Arabidopsis thaliana: one gene and its partner. The protein of the gene in region 2 interacts with the protein of the main gene of each other region in a pairwise test. Each region holds a gene or a part of one and is shown on either strand. Other genes may lie near its edges.

Region 1 (8,011 bases), on a different chromosome or scaffold from region 2:
ACCGAGGGCTGCTTTAATTGGGTTCAATACATTGGTCATCCCATATATATCCGGTTACATTCTAATGAGGACTAGGAAACATTTTGGGAAGTTGGCAATGACGGAACTTCAATACCAGGAAATCATATTATTGCAAAGTTTATCATCATTTGCTGGTGTGAATGGACTCTTGACAGATCTCAAGATCAACCATTCCGAGTTTGGACGAATGGTTCAGTCTTGTGCCGCGGTCACTGACTTAGTAATCTTTATAATGGTCTCCGGGACCGTTCTTTTAAAAGGACAAAAAGGTTTACCACATGGTATTGTTATCGTTTTGGTTATAGGCTTCTTGGTCTACATCGTATGGCCGGTCATGTTATGGATTATCAAGCAGACACCAGAAGGCAGGCTGGTTAAAGATGTCTACATTTACTTGGTTATGGCTACCGCATATTTTGTTTACATGTTTTGGCTTAATTTCTTTCAATTCTCAACATATGGCTGGTTTATTATCGGTTTGGCTACCCCGGCTGGGCCTCCACTCGGATCGGCTCTCATTCAAAGATTTGAATGTTTTAACGTTGGTGTTTTGTTGCCGCTCTTTGGATCTCTTAGCATGGAACAACTAGATATATCGTGGTTGATGCGAGAGATACTGAACCTTAAACACATGGAGGGCTTCGCTTATGAAGCTATTTCGGTTATCTTGATCGTCACCGTGGTTAAATTTGTCGTCACAGCAATAACTGCTTTTGCTGTGAGAATTCCATACCGAGACTCCATTGTTTTAGCCATGGTTTTGTCAAATAGAAGTATCTTTGAGCTCGGCTACCTCGGCTACATTGTCGAACTTAAAGTAAGAACTCAATTATGTTTCAATCCTTCCATTTTTTTTTTACATGCTACAAATTTAGGGGTGTTCAACACGATTTTAGCTCGGTCTTAGTTTCAGATTTTCCGTTAATGAACCATAATATGCAAAGTACAGCATGATCTGTTATAGATGATTTGGTATGATTTAGGTTCGCATTCGAGTTTTAGTCACATATTTCTTTAATTTTCAAAGAAATTTCGGTTTTGATCGTTTTTCTCTCCTTCCTTTTTTTGTTTGTTTTGCATTCGGATTCATTTTGCAGATATACATGCAATAGGTAAATGAATCTATTAAACCATATAGATTCATGATTCATTTTTCAAAATTATGATTTCCTGTTTTTGGACCAATCACTTAGTATAAAACCAATACCTTAAGCATTAACACTTATTTGTTAAATTTAACATGTTAAATTGTTAACTCTTAAATTTCAAACGTAGTAAAATAATTTTGGATCTTTTTTTTTTTAACATGTAATGGCAAACACATAAAAATAAAATATTGAGGTTCAAAACAATAACAAACTTATTGATCCATCTCACTACATATTAACAACAATCCATTCTTATTTTTAAAACAGATGTTCGACAACAAGAGCTTCACGATCGCGGCTCTATCAGTACTTGTCAGCTCGCTATTGACACCGATCGCGATAGAATTCATGTACGAACCACAACATATCTTTAGTAGTTACCGAGATAGGAACATGTTAACCTTGAAACATGACTCTAAGCTGAAGACCCTTGTGTGTATTCACAAGCCTGACCACATAACATCCATGGTCAACTTTGTGGAACTTTTTAACCCAACACAAGAATCAAAATTAGAATGCAATGTTCTTCACCTTGTGGAGCTCATAGGTCAGGCCATTCCTACCTTCATTTCCCACAAGATGCAAAAGCCGAAGGTTGGAACACGCTCTTGCTCCCGCAATGTCATAACTGCATTCTTAAGCCTTCGTAGACATTTAACCAAAGAGGCAATTTCCATTGACATCTTTACATCTGCTAGCTTGGTAGAGCACATGCACGAGGACCTCTGTTGGCTTGCCCTTGACAAGAATGTAGCTCTCGTTGTACTTCCTTTTCACCGTTCTTGGTCTGTTGACCGCTCAACCATTGTCTCTGACGACAAGGCCATGCAGAATCTCAACCACAAAGTCTTGAAAAGAGCGTCTTGCTCTGTTGGAATCTTCGTCTACCGGAAACCTTTATGGGAATCTCAAATGCACGGCTCATGTTACAAGGTACTTGTTTTTTTTCTTTTGTAATTAAGAGATCTCATGGTTAATTTTTGGGGTCGTCTGGCTTCCAACTCAAAACAAACCGACGATTAGTATATTTGGCCCATGTTTTTTCTATACTAGTGTTGGTACCTACACATTTCTTCCGATGTGTGATCTTAACAAGTTCTAAACTGGTCTCGTGGTTTGTATTTCAGGTGTGTGCAATAGTTGTGGGAGGGAAAGACGATAAAGAAGCCTTAGCATTCACCAACCGTATGAGGAGAAACAAGCAGACAAGCGTAACCATCTTACACCTCATACCTCAACTTACTACCGAGGAAAGCGAAGACTCGGTGCAGAAGTTGGATTACGATGACATAAAAGAGATAATGAAGACTGAGGATTCAAATGAAAATGATTCATGGATATGTATAGAAAAAAGCGTCAAAGAAGGGGCTGAGACTTCAGTGATACTTAGATCAATAGCGTATGATTATGATTTGTTTATAGTTGGAAGAAGTAGCGGAATGAATAGCGCAGTTACAAAAGGATTAAATGAATGGACAGAGTTCGAGGAACTTGGAGCCCTCGGAGATGTTATAGCGTCAAAGGAGTTTCCTTCAAGGGCATCTGTCTTGGTCTTGCAACAGCAACAATATTAGAATCTTTTTGTTTTACCATGTTATGAATATCCAAAGCACAAATTAGGTTCCTAGAGTTGAGTCGGCGATCCATATAGGTCGTCTGTACTGCTTTCTCGGGGTTAAAATTCTTTATTCTTTTACCAATCAAACAGAGAACAATACATAGAATCAAGATGTGAATGGTCTTGCAACAACAAAGCAATAATACAGCCAATGAACCAAAACGTGATATATCAAAGCAAAAGAAACTTAAGACTTGAGACTATAAACAAAACATAAATATTACTTCATTTAACCATACAATTTGTCGCTAAATTACTATATAACATGGTGTTTATTCAATAGAGAATCAACAATCTCGGTTACATCATCACTAGAATAGAAATTAGAGCCCTGGAAGTTATGAAACATGTAAGAAAGGTACACAATCAATATAGTGCAGAACCGGATTTGACTCACGTTAGAGCAAGCGTTATAGAATCAAGTAAATGACTTGATGAATTCAAAACCTTGATTTAAAAGTGATCCAGTGATCCACAGCTTCAGGTTAGGCAAGTTTAAGCTCTGTTCGAAGCATGTCCCCTGTTTCCACCACACAAGAAAACTCGGTAAGTAAACGGTATACTCGGAAACAAAACAAAGTAAAAGGGCACAAGTTGATTTACATCTAAGGTATATGTTAAGAGGTATGTGTCCGGAGAAGGAGAGCTTAGGTTAGAGTTCTGCACTTGGAAACTTGTAAGAGACTCCAAAGACTTGTAAAGAGATGGAGCAACACCTTCTCCTTTGTTACACACCAATCTCACATAAAACCCTTTCTCCTCCACTTGTATAACATCCATCTAACACAACAAAACATACAAACTTTAAACACTTTGATGTTTCAAGAAGATTGATTGGTTTTTTTAGGTTATTACCTGAATGATTTTTTTGGAAGCAGGAGGATTGATACCGCGAAAAGGTTGAGTCTTTTGAGCATCAGGAGCATGTTCTTGGTACCCTCCAGTAGAGTTTAAAGAAGCTTCAAGACCCGCGATATCGGATTTGAGTTTCTTCGCTTGTGACTGAAGTTCTTGAACATACAACACTGCATCTCCAACAATGGATGCTTTATCCATCTAAATGCCAACACACACATACTTCATCAATATTTACAGTTTCATTAGTCATTACCAAATCTTGAAAATGTTGTGACTTACCTTAGTAATATTGGGAACAAGAGATCTCAATGCATAAAGCTTATCCTTCATACGCCCTCTCCTTCTTCTCTCAGAGATCAAAGTCCTAGACCGATCAGTCTTCGTCTTACGGGTCCCATCATTATTCGTAGTAGTGGCTGAAGAATCATCACCGTCGTTGTAATCTTCTTCATCTTCTTCACCACCGGCTCTAACACTATCACCGTCGAAGCTACGGAATGATTCAGCAACGTTGGAGTCTAAGTCAGGCAATTCGTCGAAGAGGTCATCGACAGGTGTTGGGATGAACTGGTTCTCGTCTATGAAACAGGGGCTGTTTTGTAATGGACCAAGATCGAAATCAAGAACTGGGTTTTCGTCAATGGTTTGATGATCTCCTCTTATGAGGTTTATGAACTGATCGAAGTTTGGATCGACCAAGAAATTGTGAAGTTCGAGATCGTTTATGTTTGACAGAGCGTTGACTCTTCCTTCCATTTGTGTGTTTTTGTCAATGAAGAAAAGTTGTTGACAACGAAAGAGAGACAAAATGAGTTTATATAATAGAGTGAGTATGAAATAAACTGTATTAATTAACATAATAAGTTAAGAAATCAATTAAAACAAATTTAAAGAAATGTACTCTTGATAGTTGGTTGATATTAGTTTATTCAGTTACGTCTTGTAATGTCATGCATGACCTGTATATTATATGTATAAATTATGTTACTCGAATGATTAATTTGTCGTGTTGCATGACAATTATATTTCCACATTGTTCTTCTTTATATTTTATCATTTGAATTTTTTTTTGTGGTGGAGGGAATGCAGATTAGAAACAAGAGTATATGTTGATCAAAAAAAAAAAAAAATATATATAGAAATAACACACATTTTTGGTCATGTCTTTATTGGGAGAAGTTTTTTAAAATTATACTACTTTCCAAAAATATCATTTTTATCCATTTTCAAAAATACCACAAATATTTAGAGTTTTTTAAAGTTATAAAATATACCAAAAATATTACTATATAATTTAGTTTATGAATACATTATTATGAGTTTTGGTTATTAAGACCTTATATAGGCATATAGCATGTATATTAAGCTCATAATATATCCTGTTACTATATAATTTAGTTTATGAATATATATGAGTTTTGGTTATATAAATAAATAAATCGATCAGACCGTATTAAAAAGGTGTTCATAAGTAAAAGTTTACTACGATATTAGACGTACAAATGTTAGTGTACTGTTTATATTTTTGAATTTAGATCCACATATATTCTTGTTTATTAAAATGTTAGGAATTAATTTGCAATCGGCTTATTACAACTGTAGATGTCAACTGGTTTAGTTGTCACAAGCTAGAATTTTAACAAAAGTTTTTCTCAACATTTTTATGTTAGTGTATTTAAAAAGTACTCCAATATGATAAATATGTTTTGTAGAAAAACGGCCAAAATTAATTTCAAATATAAACTTAAACCAGCATAATTTTCAAATAACAAACCAACTCTGGAATATAATAGCATTTCAATTATTTTCTTTTATTTTTGATAAATGCATTTCCATTTTTCAAATCATTTAAGGATAAACCGCAATTAAATTATGAAGAAGCCTGTTCAATGCACGGTTTTCGTTCTTGTCTCAACAAACAAACAAAGGATAGCAAAGAAAGACAGTATAAAATATTAAAGTCTTGGCCGGTTAGGACAAAAATCAACTCTTTATAATATTTCAAGTTGGAATATTTTTTCAGGTATATAACTGTAAAAAAAAAAAAAAAAAAAAAGTCAACCAATTATAGATTCCATCTAGGTGTTGAATTTATTAGAGAAACTGAACTTTTGAGCAACATTGGATTTTTGGGATACTCCACAACTTTCAAAAACATCAACCAATTTCCAAATAAATATTTGAATAATGCTATTATGTCAATTTAGTAGATGTTTGGTTAGATCGTGGCTGTAAATTTCGGTCTGTAATGTTTCTGATATAATCTTATTTTTGCTGTAAAATTTTTTTTCACATATAGCCTCTAGAGTTTAAAACAAATAAAAATTGTTGTAAAAACAATTCATGAATATGGCATACTTTGGTTCAAATATATTTGATACATGTGAAGCTAGCATAATTTTTACTGAAATTCTTCCTATTTCGTTTTTTTTTTGCCACATGATTATCTTTCAGTACTCCAACAAATATGACAACTCTTTTTCTTTTCTTCACTAATTGACATTTGGAACAAATACAATTTTGCTGTACCTATCACATCTTTAGAAACATAACTCTGAATAAGTCACAAACTTATGAAGCAAAATATTTTGACAAACTTTTTTCTTTTTTCCTTTTCTTTTTCCTCTAACCTTTATGCATGTCAACTAGCAGATAACTTTTAATTTGTTCACCCCAACAAAAATGGGGAAAATATGAAAACTCCTTTTCTTCTCTATACAGACATGGAACAAATTCAATTTTTATGTGACTTATCAGCACATCTTTAGAAACACAACAGCGGATAAGTCATGACTCATGAACATCAATAAAGTATTGTGTCAGATTTTCAGATAACCGTAACTATCGGTTACAATTTTGAAAACCGAAATGGCATGGATTCACTAATAAAACCAAACCTACCAATGACCACACCAATCAGTAAACAATGACCACACCAATCAGTAACAGTGGTCCATCCATCTTCTTCTCATCTCACATCACATCAAAACATTAATACCTTTTGTTACCAAACTTTTTTTTCTCAATTTACTTACACCTTTTCTCTGCCCAATACCAACATTTAGTGCTCTCTCTGAAATCTTTCTATCCTTTTTATGAAACTTTTTTGCCATTTCTCTTTTTCTCATTCCACCTTTCTAGATTTACAATCAAAATGGAGAAAGTTGCCGCCACAATACAAACCAGCAAAAGGGTCTTTTTAGATTTCAAATTTTTCAAAAAACACGCCTCCTAAACTTGGTTAAGGCTCTTCTGAAGGCACTTTCGATTCGATTCTAACTCGTGCTCCTGAAGCAAGCCTGTTCAAGATACATACAAGATTTAATAAACCTGATATGAATCAAGATAAGATATGTTCATATCAATATATTGAACAAGATTCAAGATGTTTATGTTTCACCTTTCGTCGATCTTGATAACTCTCTCCTCGTCTTCTCTGAATGAATCGGGCTTCCTTAAAGACTCGGTTATTCTTTTACTGCAAGCATCATGTGTTTTAGTGGTACATGGAATGTTCTTGGTAGTATCTTCTGATGAGTCTCTTCTCTTTTCGGAGACAAGTGGTTGTTGCTTCCCTAGAATAGAAGACGCCTTTCTTGAGCTTGGATTATTTTTAGAACTATCCGGTTTTGAGTCTCCATTCTCTGCTACACCCATTTGGTTGGATGCCCTGAAAAAACTCACATGAGATGTGTCCTCAAGAATTCACAGAGACTAAGTATACTACTCAAATCAAGAACCTTTCCAATCACATATTATGACCCTAACAAACCAAAGATAGCTTGTTGTAATTTTAGTGGGAAACTAAAGGCAGAGACTTTTTTTTTAAGCTGTGATTTTGGCACAAGAACACAAGAACTGTCTTAACATCAAAACATAACACAACATCCAACAATCACTAGCAGGAGTGTTTTTCAGAAATGTACCTGTCACCATTGTAGGATGAAGAACGCTTAAGAGAAGCGTTACTATCCGCTGCATCCTTCTTCTGTAGCTTAGTCTCCACTAAGCTCCCACTAAAATACTCTTTCTCCTCCATCCTCAGGCCCATTAGACTCGGAGTTTCCGACAAACGGTCAAGATCTCCCATCATAAACGACGAGGAGAAAAAAGGAGACGGAAACTTCGAGTGTCCAAATTTCGGTTTGTAAGTAGGTACAAGGCCGAAATTGTTATCCTTGACTGATATTGAACCACAAGATATCAACTGCATCAGCATATTCGAGGCCCTAAGCCTCGGAATAGCGGGCATTCGAACATCTTCTTGTTCAAGAATCCTAAAACTATTCATCTTACTAACATCAGCTCTTATTAGAGACTCCAAAGTATCAGTCTTTCCTCCTAGCGAAGAAGCACTATTGGAAAA
Region 2 (8,270 bases):
GTGGTACAAGGAGTCAAGACATTGTTTCGTACAATACATTGTTGAATTTGTATTTTAAAGATGGGAACTTGGATGCAGTAGATGATCTATTGGAGGAGATTGAGATGAAGGGGTTGAAACCTGATGACTATACTCATACGATTATAGTCAATGGTTTGTTAAATATAGGCAATACGGGAGGAGCCGAGAAGCATTTGGCATGTATCGGAGAGATGGGGATGCAGCCGAGTGTTGTCACTTGTAACTGTTTGATTGATGGGTTGTGCAAAGCAGGTCATGTAGATCGTGCAATGAGGTTGTTTGCGTCAATGGAAGTTAGAGATGAGTTCACTTACACTTCTGTTGTGCATAATCTATGCAAAGACGGACGGCTTGTTTGTGCTTCGAAGCTGCTCTTGTCGTGTTACAATAAAGGAATGAAGATTCCGTCATCGGCTAGACGAGCAGTGTTGTCCGGCATACGGGAGACGGTATCTTACCAAGCAGCAAGGAAGACACATATCAAAATCAAAGCAGCTATTGAGTGTAATACACTAATGTACCCTTAAGACATTGAAAAGTATCTAATAGAAAAATTATTGAATTGTACATGAGCATAAGGGATGTTTTCATACTAAATTCTAGTCGAGATTTGACAACTCTCTTAACCATTTGAATATTTGTAATATTAGCCAAAGTCTCATCAACCATATCAATGACTCGAGTTATTAAGCAACAAGCTCTTCAATATAGCTAAGTTTTTGATAATTTATCAGTTACTTTGTTTAATTTTAGTCATTTGATTAGAGTTTTGGTCAGAGTCTTTTAAGAATTAAGGGACCAAAGTAACTTCAGACAAAATGACCAAAGACACCACTTTTGAAACCACTGGTCCCAAAAACGAAGCCATGTTACTCATGTGCTGCTTCTGAACACAGTTAAAAAGCTAATCTTTGAACTATGAACCTACTCTCTAGAACTTTTTACTATTTGGGTTTCTTTGTTTTTAACAGAAAACAGTAAAGTTTTTTTTTTTTTTTTGCAGAGGACTAAAAGATAAGACTGAGTCTAGTCTCTCGACGTGGACAAATCTGACAAGAACAGTTACTGCTCTTCGTCCTCTTTGTTGTTATTGTCGTCTCTCTCTCTCGGACTTTGTAAAATGTTACACTGACTTCTCTTAATCTCTCTACGTAAGTACAAAGATCTATTGCATGTTAGAGATGATGTTTTCAGAATTTTTTTAGAGACATGAACACGTGTTTGTTTGTTGATGCAACGAATCAGATTAGAGTAGACACGTTTTCTAGGTTTAAAAACATTCACAGGAATCTTTTTAAGTTAAATTCTTGATAAGAAATAGAGACGAGTTTGTCCAAAAAAAAAAAAAAAGAGAGATAGAGACGTTGGAACTTGGAAGCAAAAGGTTTTTGTTGCTTGTCAAAGAGATTAAGAGAATATAGTTTTGAATTAACCAACAAATAGAGTCTGATTAATATTAAGTGTGTATACTTTACTTAGCATAACAAATGTGAATTGTATTTAGCAATTATAAATACTGAGATCATCCAAAAACCCTAGTGGTGGAAACAAATCGAACCGATAAAACAACTCTAACCCTAAAGGTCGTCACAAAGAAATCTTATATGAAAAGACTCAAAATAAACCAAAAGGTTAATTAAGAGAATAAAAGGAGTCTACATACTAGATACCTTAAAACTAATACTATTGTAGTATTGTTTGATTTTCGCTTGCTATTGTCAAATTCGTGAAAGTTAACATTTTCCCTTTTTGGGTATTAGAGCAACGGCCATTGTTGAGTGGTAAACGAATAAACAAATTTAGTAATTGTAGTCTAATTATAGGTCGTTAATTTGGTTTTGTACACTTTATCACTTGTAGAATTTTGCATGGAGTGTTTTGTTTCTGTTACCGAAAATATTTGATTGATTTTGTGTCCGGAGCTGTTGTCTAATTCGTGAAAGTTAACGTTTTTTGTTTTTGTTTTTGAGAGATCTGACAATTTGTATCAGAAAAAAACAAAAAAGTGCAGATAGTTAAAAAGTAATTTAAATAAATAGAGAAATTTGTTTTAAATCACGGGTTGTGTTTTTTACCTTCATAGCTTCTTCTGGTCCTTCTAATGTGCAAACAAAACTGACTGATGAAATGGAGACAGTCCTTTTTTAATTATAAGCATACAATTGCAATTAATAATTACTCACTTTTCCCAATATTATAAAAAAAAATCTTATGGATATATATATATTCAAGAGGAAAATAAATAGCAATTGTGAGATTTTGCTTTCTTCCAGCACTCATTTGTCTCTTTACGTGTATGTTATTGTCCGGTCCCCACGGTCCAACATTGCTAAATACCTAACCGGTTTGGTCCCATTTGTTTTTCTTCTTGAGTCGAATATTTGGAATTTGGTCTCCATTTAGATGATTGAGTTTTCTTCCTTTTTTTTTTTTTATCGAATACCATATCACATATATACGCTTTGTTTTTGCATTTGCATTATAAAAGTCTTCAAACATTTTTCGGTAAAATGCCAACGCATGATCTCAAACGTAAAAATGAGATTCAACTATGCAAACAATTGCGTTAACATTTCTGTATAGAAGTCTGAGTTTTGCAACGAACAAGAATTACATATGGTTCCTTTTGGGGGTTGCAAAGAGTTGTTTTTAGGTTGAAACTTGAAAAATGTAAAAAGATTAAAGGTTTTTAGAGTAGTGAAAAGGGTAATTAAGTGAAAAAGAAAGAATGGTCCACGATTTCGAGAAAAGAACAAGACCTTAGACTCTCTCTGACCCCTCTCACGTGCCACCAGCACTCCATTGCTCTTCTTCCTTCTCTAATCCTTTTCTCATCTATGAATATATATACATATGCATTTTATATTTATTTATACACTATGAGTTAATCAAAAAACAAATTGTACGTTATGATTTTAGGTAAACGATTACAATTTATACAGCTTGTGTCATTTATTTTTGCCAACTCCTTAAACATATATCAAAGCATGGTAAACGTAGTCTTTTCTTCGAAGTCGATAACTTCATCGGTTAAACCTGGCTGAACTATTAACCTATATCGAGTACATGTGGTTTATGTTTCCATTTTCCAAATTCTTATATAAAATAAAATATATGATCAAAATAGATGACTCGAGAAAAAGAAAAAAAAAAACATATATTGAGAAATCATATGATCTTTGTATCTCTTCTTATCATAATTTAGGTTTGTGATAATAAGTTAGTCAAGTGTACGAATTGCAACTGATAATATGTGGAAACATGAAAATGAATATATATGTGATTATGCATGTTTTTAGCAATAGTCAAGCTTTTACAAGATTTAATAAGAAAAAGTATGGCATTCAGCAAAGTCCATAATTAAGTTTTCTTCAGAAGTACCCTTCCATGATAGTACCGATCACAATCAAATAATGTCTCACATGTACACACACTCAGAGCACCATAGCTTCAACGTTTGTCAAGAAAAAAATTTCCTTTTAATCATTGCCTTTTATTTTTTCGAAAATGTCGTTTTCGCCCGCAAATATTTATAACCTTTATATATTTTTTTCGAAAACAATAAATTAAAGATTTGGAATGTTGCTATATAAATCAATGATACTTAGTAATTCAATAAGGAATAAACTTCGTGAAGAGAAATGACTCTAGAAGCTTTATCATCAAACGGTCTTTTAAACTTTTTGCTCTCTGAAACTCTTTCACCAACTCCATTCAAGTCTCTCGTCGATCTCGAGCCATTGCCGGAAAATGATGTCATCATATCGAAGAACACAATTTCGGAGATATCTAATCAAGAACCGCCACCACAGCGACAACCACCAGCTACGAATCGAGGGAAGAAGCGGCGGAGGAGGAAGCCTAGGGTTTGCAAAAACGAGGAAGAAGCTGAGAATCAACGAATGACTCACATTGCCGTCGAAAGAAATCGAAGAAGACAAATGAATCAACATCTCTCTGTCTTGCGATCTCTCATGCCTCAACCTTTTGCTCACAAGGTTTAACTTTTATGGATATATATTCTTTTTAATGTTTGTAAAGTTTCAAGTAGGGTTTCAATTTTTATGGATAATTTTTTTAAATGGTTTACTATTTCGATTTGGGTTTCAATTAATATTTACAATTCACTGAAAAAGATTAAATTTTCATCTTGAGTTTTATTTTTTATGAAAGATTCATTCTAACGGTTTAAATCTATTTGATTTTCAATATTTATGGCCAATTCTAAAAAATTGATTTTTTATTAAATATATATTTGGGTTTTTATTTGTTTACTTATATGTTGTTTTGGTGGATTTATTTGTTTCCCCATGAAAGGGTGATCAAGCTTCAATAGTTGGTGGAGCCATAGATTTCATCAAAGAACTTGAACACAAATTACTATCTCTTGAAGCTCAAAAACATCATAATGCTAAATTAAACCAGTCGGTTACTTCTTCAACAAGTCAAGACTCAAATGGTGAACAAGAGAATCCTCATCAACCATCTTCACTATCTCTATCGCAGTTCTTTCTTCATTCATACGATCCGAGCCAAGAGAATAGGAACGGCTCAACAAGCTCGGTGAAAACCCCTATGGAAGATCTTGAGGTGACTCTAATCGAAACTCATGCTAACATCAGAATCTTGTCGAGAAGAAGAGGTTTCCGGTGGAGCACGTTGGCCACCACCAAACCGCCGCAGCTTTCGAAGCTGGTGGCTTCTCTACAATCGCTGTCCCTCTCCATTCTTCACCTTAGTGTCACAACATTGGACAATTATGCTATTTACTCCATCAGCGCTAAGGTAATAAAATTAAAACCCTATCATCTGAACCGGACTAAACCGGATTAGTTTCAATGCAATTTGTGCGGTATTTAGATCAAACAGATTACAAGATAGGACATTTATGCTATTTACTCTATCAGTAACTGATGAAAAAAAAAAAAAAACTCTATCAGTAACTAGGGTGATACAAACCGGAGCTAAACCGGATTTGTTCAAATGCGACTTGAGGGGTATTTTGGGAATATATGTTAGGAATTTAAAGCTAGACGGTCGATTATGTGCGGTCCAAGGGACAGAGCATATAAAAGGAATGTCTATGAGCTCTTAACTAGATTTGGTCCAACATTTATTACCATACTTGGTGGAGTCATTTTTCTTATTTTTCACCCATTTCTTGAAAACAGGTTCAATTATTGCCACGTGGGTTATAAAAATTGTAACAATTTGAAGCTTTTTTCAAATTCACATTATGCTATTTTTGTAAAATCATTTTCTTATTGGATGTTGAAAGGTGGAAGAGAGTTGCCAGCTAAGTTCAGTAGATGACATTGCAGGAGCAGTTCACCACATGCTAAGTATCATTGAAGAGGAGCCTTTTTGTTGCTCATCAATGTCAGAATTACCATTTGACTTCTCTTTGAATCACTCAAATGTCACTCATTCTCTCTGAGAAATCTCTTTTTTGTTGTTGTTATTCCTTCTTTTAATTTTATCACATAGCACATCTTTAGTTTTTTTTTTTCAGAATGAAGAAACACATAAGCTTTCTTTTAAAATCCTAGGTTCTTTTTCTGACTTTGTAAAGGCTAAATGTGAATTTATAATGGCACATAACATATTAGTTGTTTTACTCTTAATTTTATGCATTTTCTGATAGTAATTAAGTTATAAATTAGTACACTTGTGAGTGTTTGAATTGTTTTATATATATAACTGGATTCTTATATATACAAATCATCAAAAAATTTAGCTAGGCTCTCGATCTTGGATATTAGTTAGTAGAGAGTATATACTAAAAATCTTTTTAAGTGTGTTTATAAAATTTCAAGGGCTAAACAGATGATATTTTATGGAGATAGTTGTCAATTTAAGAGGCTAAGTTGTAACATGCAAATGGAAAAATCTAAAGAAATCAATTACGTGTTAATGTGTAATCGTATTAAAATCTTTTTGTGATAAATTAATTTGGATATTCTGTTACAGAAGATTTTAAGACATCCGCCATCATTGCGAGTGAGATTGTTGTGTTCGGTTGCTTATGTTGTTATATTACCATCAACATCCACGACACTATTTTATGGACCTTTCTCCAGTGGCCCATATTAATAGTTTTAGATATGGGCTTTATTTGATATATCCGTCTAGCTTTAGGCCACCAAGGCTGGCAACAGAGGCGAGAGTACTTCACTTTAGTATTCGGACAAGGTTTATATTTCTCCAAAATTGTTTGCTATCTTTCGACTTAATTTGCACTCATACTCGATAGGATGATAAATGCTCATCATTTTGGTACAATACACAATTTTTTTGGTACCCGCTGCTTTTTTTTCGTTCAATGCTTATCATATTCGACTTTACTCGTAACCGACGATCTTTGTACCCATAAAGAAGTGGAAATCTTGACTTTTCTTCACGAAATAAAGATTCTCTTCATTATCTCCTTTGGACTCCATGCGAATTTGGTCAACATGTTCACATTTTCCACATAACTGGTTCGTTCTAAGAAGGGTATTGTTGTTTATTATAAAGGGAATAGAAACAAATTTATTTTGTTTTTAGATTGTTAGCATATATACAATTAATGTCTGTATATAAAAAGAAATTAGGATATGTATTTGATTTTTGTTTTCTGTTCTATTAATATGTACCTTTATGTGAAAAATACTTGCATTTGTTGAGAGAACACGAAAAGATATACATAGACCCGCGTAATCTCTCCCGTTTAACTAAGATTGTTTAGGGCTGGGCACAAGGCAAGTACTTGCCGATTTGGAGGTACTTGTGACTTGACTTGCCTTGTCAAAGTAATTGGATTTTTGGCTTGTTATTTGCCTTGTTAAAACGAGTACTTGGTCTACCAAGTATTTGTCTAAATTTTAATTACTTGCAAGTTACTTGACCCACCTTGTTACTTGTCAAAATTAAATACTTTTACTTGAACCTAAAATATTTGGAATAAAAAACCCTATTTCATACATAATATTTAAGGTCAATGAGTTTTGTTATAATAAATTTTAAAATTTTAGCTTTTATAGACCAAACCAAAATTATAAATTTGTTATAATAATTTAAGCATTAGTATGTTAGTAACAAATATACAATGTTCAACAATTAACAAGGTAAGTAATAGAAAAAAAAAAAATCCAGACCTAATTATTAGTTATCCCACAAGTCACATGTACAAATAACGAGTAACAGAGCAAGTAAAAGGACAAGCATCAAAATGATGCAAGTAACGAGGCAAGTAACGGGATAAGTATCAAAACGAGGTAAGTAACGAGTCAAGTATCAAAAAAAATTATGATACTTGATACTTGGCTTGCTCTTGCAAGTAATAAAATAAACCGACTTGTTACTTGACTTGCCTATGACAAGTACTTGAATTTTCAAGACGAGTACGAACCGAGTAGCGAGTAATTGCCGAGTAGCGAGTACTTGTGCCCAGGGCTAAGATTGTTTGTAATAATGAGGATTACTAAATATGGTCCTTCGAGATGGGACAAAATATTTGCATCGGCTCTTCCACACTAGAGATGCATCACAACTGCATATAGAATCTTCTAACACAATGGAGTTCACAAATTGTTGTGGAAGTTAATGTCTCCCAAGTTCAATGAATCTGTTTGTTTGTCTTAATTCAGGAGATAACTTGAGCAAAGAGAGACCTCCATGTGGTATTATCCACTGCACATAAATAAAAAGGAATTTCAAAATAAGGTTTGTAAGGATTTTTTTTTAGAAAAAAAAACAGATTATGCGGTAAATAGACAATTTCTGGTTTACCATTTTACCTTATGAATACATTCTAGAGAAGATGCGCCACTGATACCAATAAATGGATTTTATCATTGTGAAATTGGATTTGGGTATCGCTTATTGGTGCCTTTTCTAGTCTAGTATCTCGACCGGTGAAGACTTATTCTCTCACGTCTCAGTGTCCTAGAAGAAAAGATGCAAGTAATAAAGAGTTTGTGTAGTTATAAGGTTTCCGAGTTCGGATGACATTTTTTGAATCAAAATCTCGTGTATGTGATTGAGTATTAAAAATAGACATGTAAGTTCACGTAGAAGTTCTCGTGTATAACCAAGTTCGGAAAAGTAGACTTATGTGAGTTCATGTAGAAGTTCCAATCTAACATAAACGCAAAGGTTTTCAATAACACATGAGAACAAAAAAAAAAACAAGAGACGAATGTTTTGAGCCTTTAGAATGCTAGATCGGTTATTGCTTCTGGTAATTCTTTTTTTTTTTTTGTTCACCT

The links.
Region 1: the proteins of bHLH071 (region 2) and FRU interact in binary tests that used the Arabidopsis thaliana proteins (3 or more experiments, as listed by UniProt).

Annotation. Positions count from the first base shown.
Region 1 is NC_003071.7:12,001,103-12,009,113, reverse strand, and holds FRU (FER-like regulator of iron uptake), read right to left. Parts: upstream 4,457-8,011; 5' UTR 4,402-4,456; coding exon 3,925-4,401; intron 3,844-3,924; coding exon 3,643-3,843; intron 3,568-3,642; coding exon 3,391-3,567; intron 3,308-3,390; coding exon 3,206-3,307; 3' UTR 3,119-3,205; coding exon of another isoform or gene 3,111-3,118; 3' UTR 2,838-3,110; downstream 1-2,837. Other genes in the region: ATCHX7 (Cation/hydrogen exchanger family protein), read left to right, coding at 1-838, 1,437-2,102, 2,297-2,743; AT2G28150 (UPSTREAM OF FLC protein (DUF966)), read right to left, coding at 6,887-6,944, 7,046-7,315, 7,572-8,011. UniProt on the Arabidopsis thaliana protein: Transcription factor. Essential protein involved in iron uptake responses. Regulates FRO2 at the level of mRNA accumulation and IRT1 at the level of protein accumulation. Confers enhanced iron mobilization responses at low iron supply.
Region 2 is NC_003076.8:18,941,977-18,950,246, forward strand, and holds bHLH071 (beta HLH protein 71), read left to right. Parts: upstream 1-3,566; 5' UTR 3,567-3,662; coding exon 3,663-4,019; intron 4,020-4,338; coding exon 4,339-4,806; coding exon of another isoform or gene 4,807-4,854; exon of another isoform or gene 4,855-5,299; coding exon 5,300-5,458; 3' UTR 5,459-5,661; downstream 5,662-8,270. Other genes in the region: AT5G46680 (Pentatricopeptide repeat (PPR-like) superfamily protein), read left to right, coding at 1-548. UniProt on the Arabidopsis thaliana protein: Transcription factor. May be involved in the differentiation of stomatal guard cells.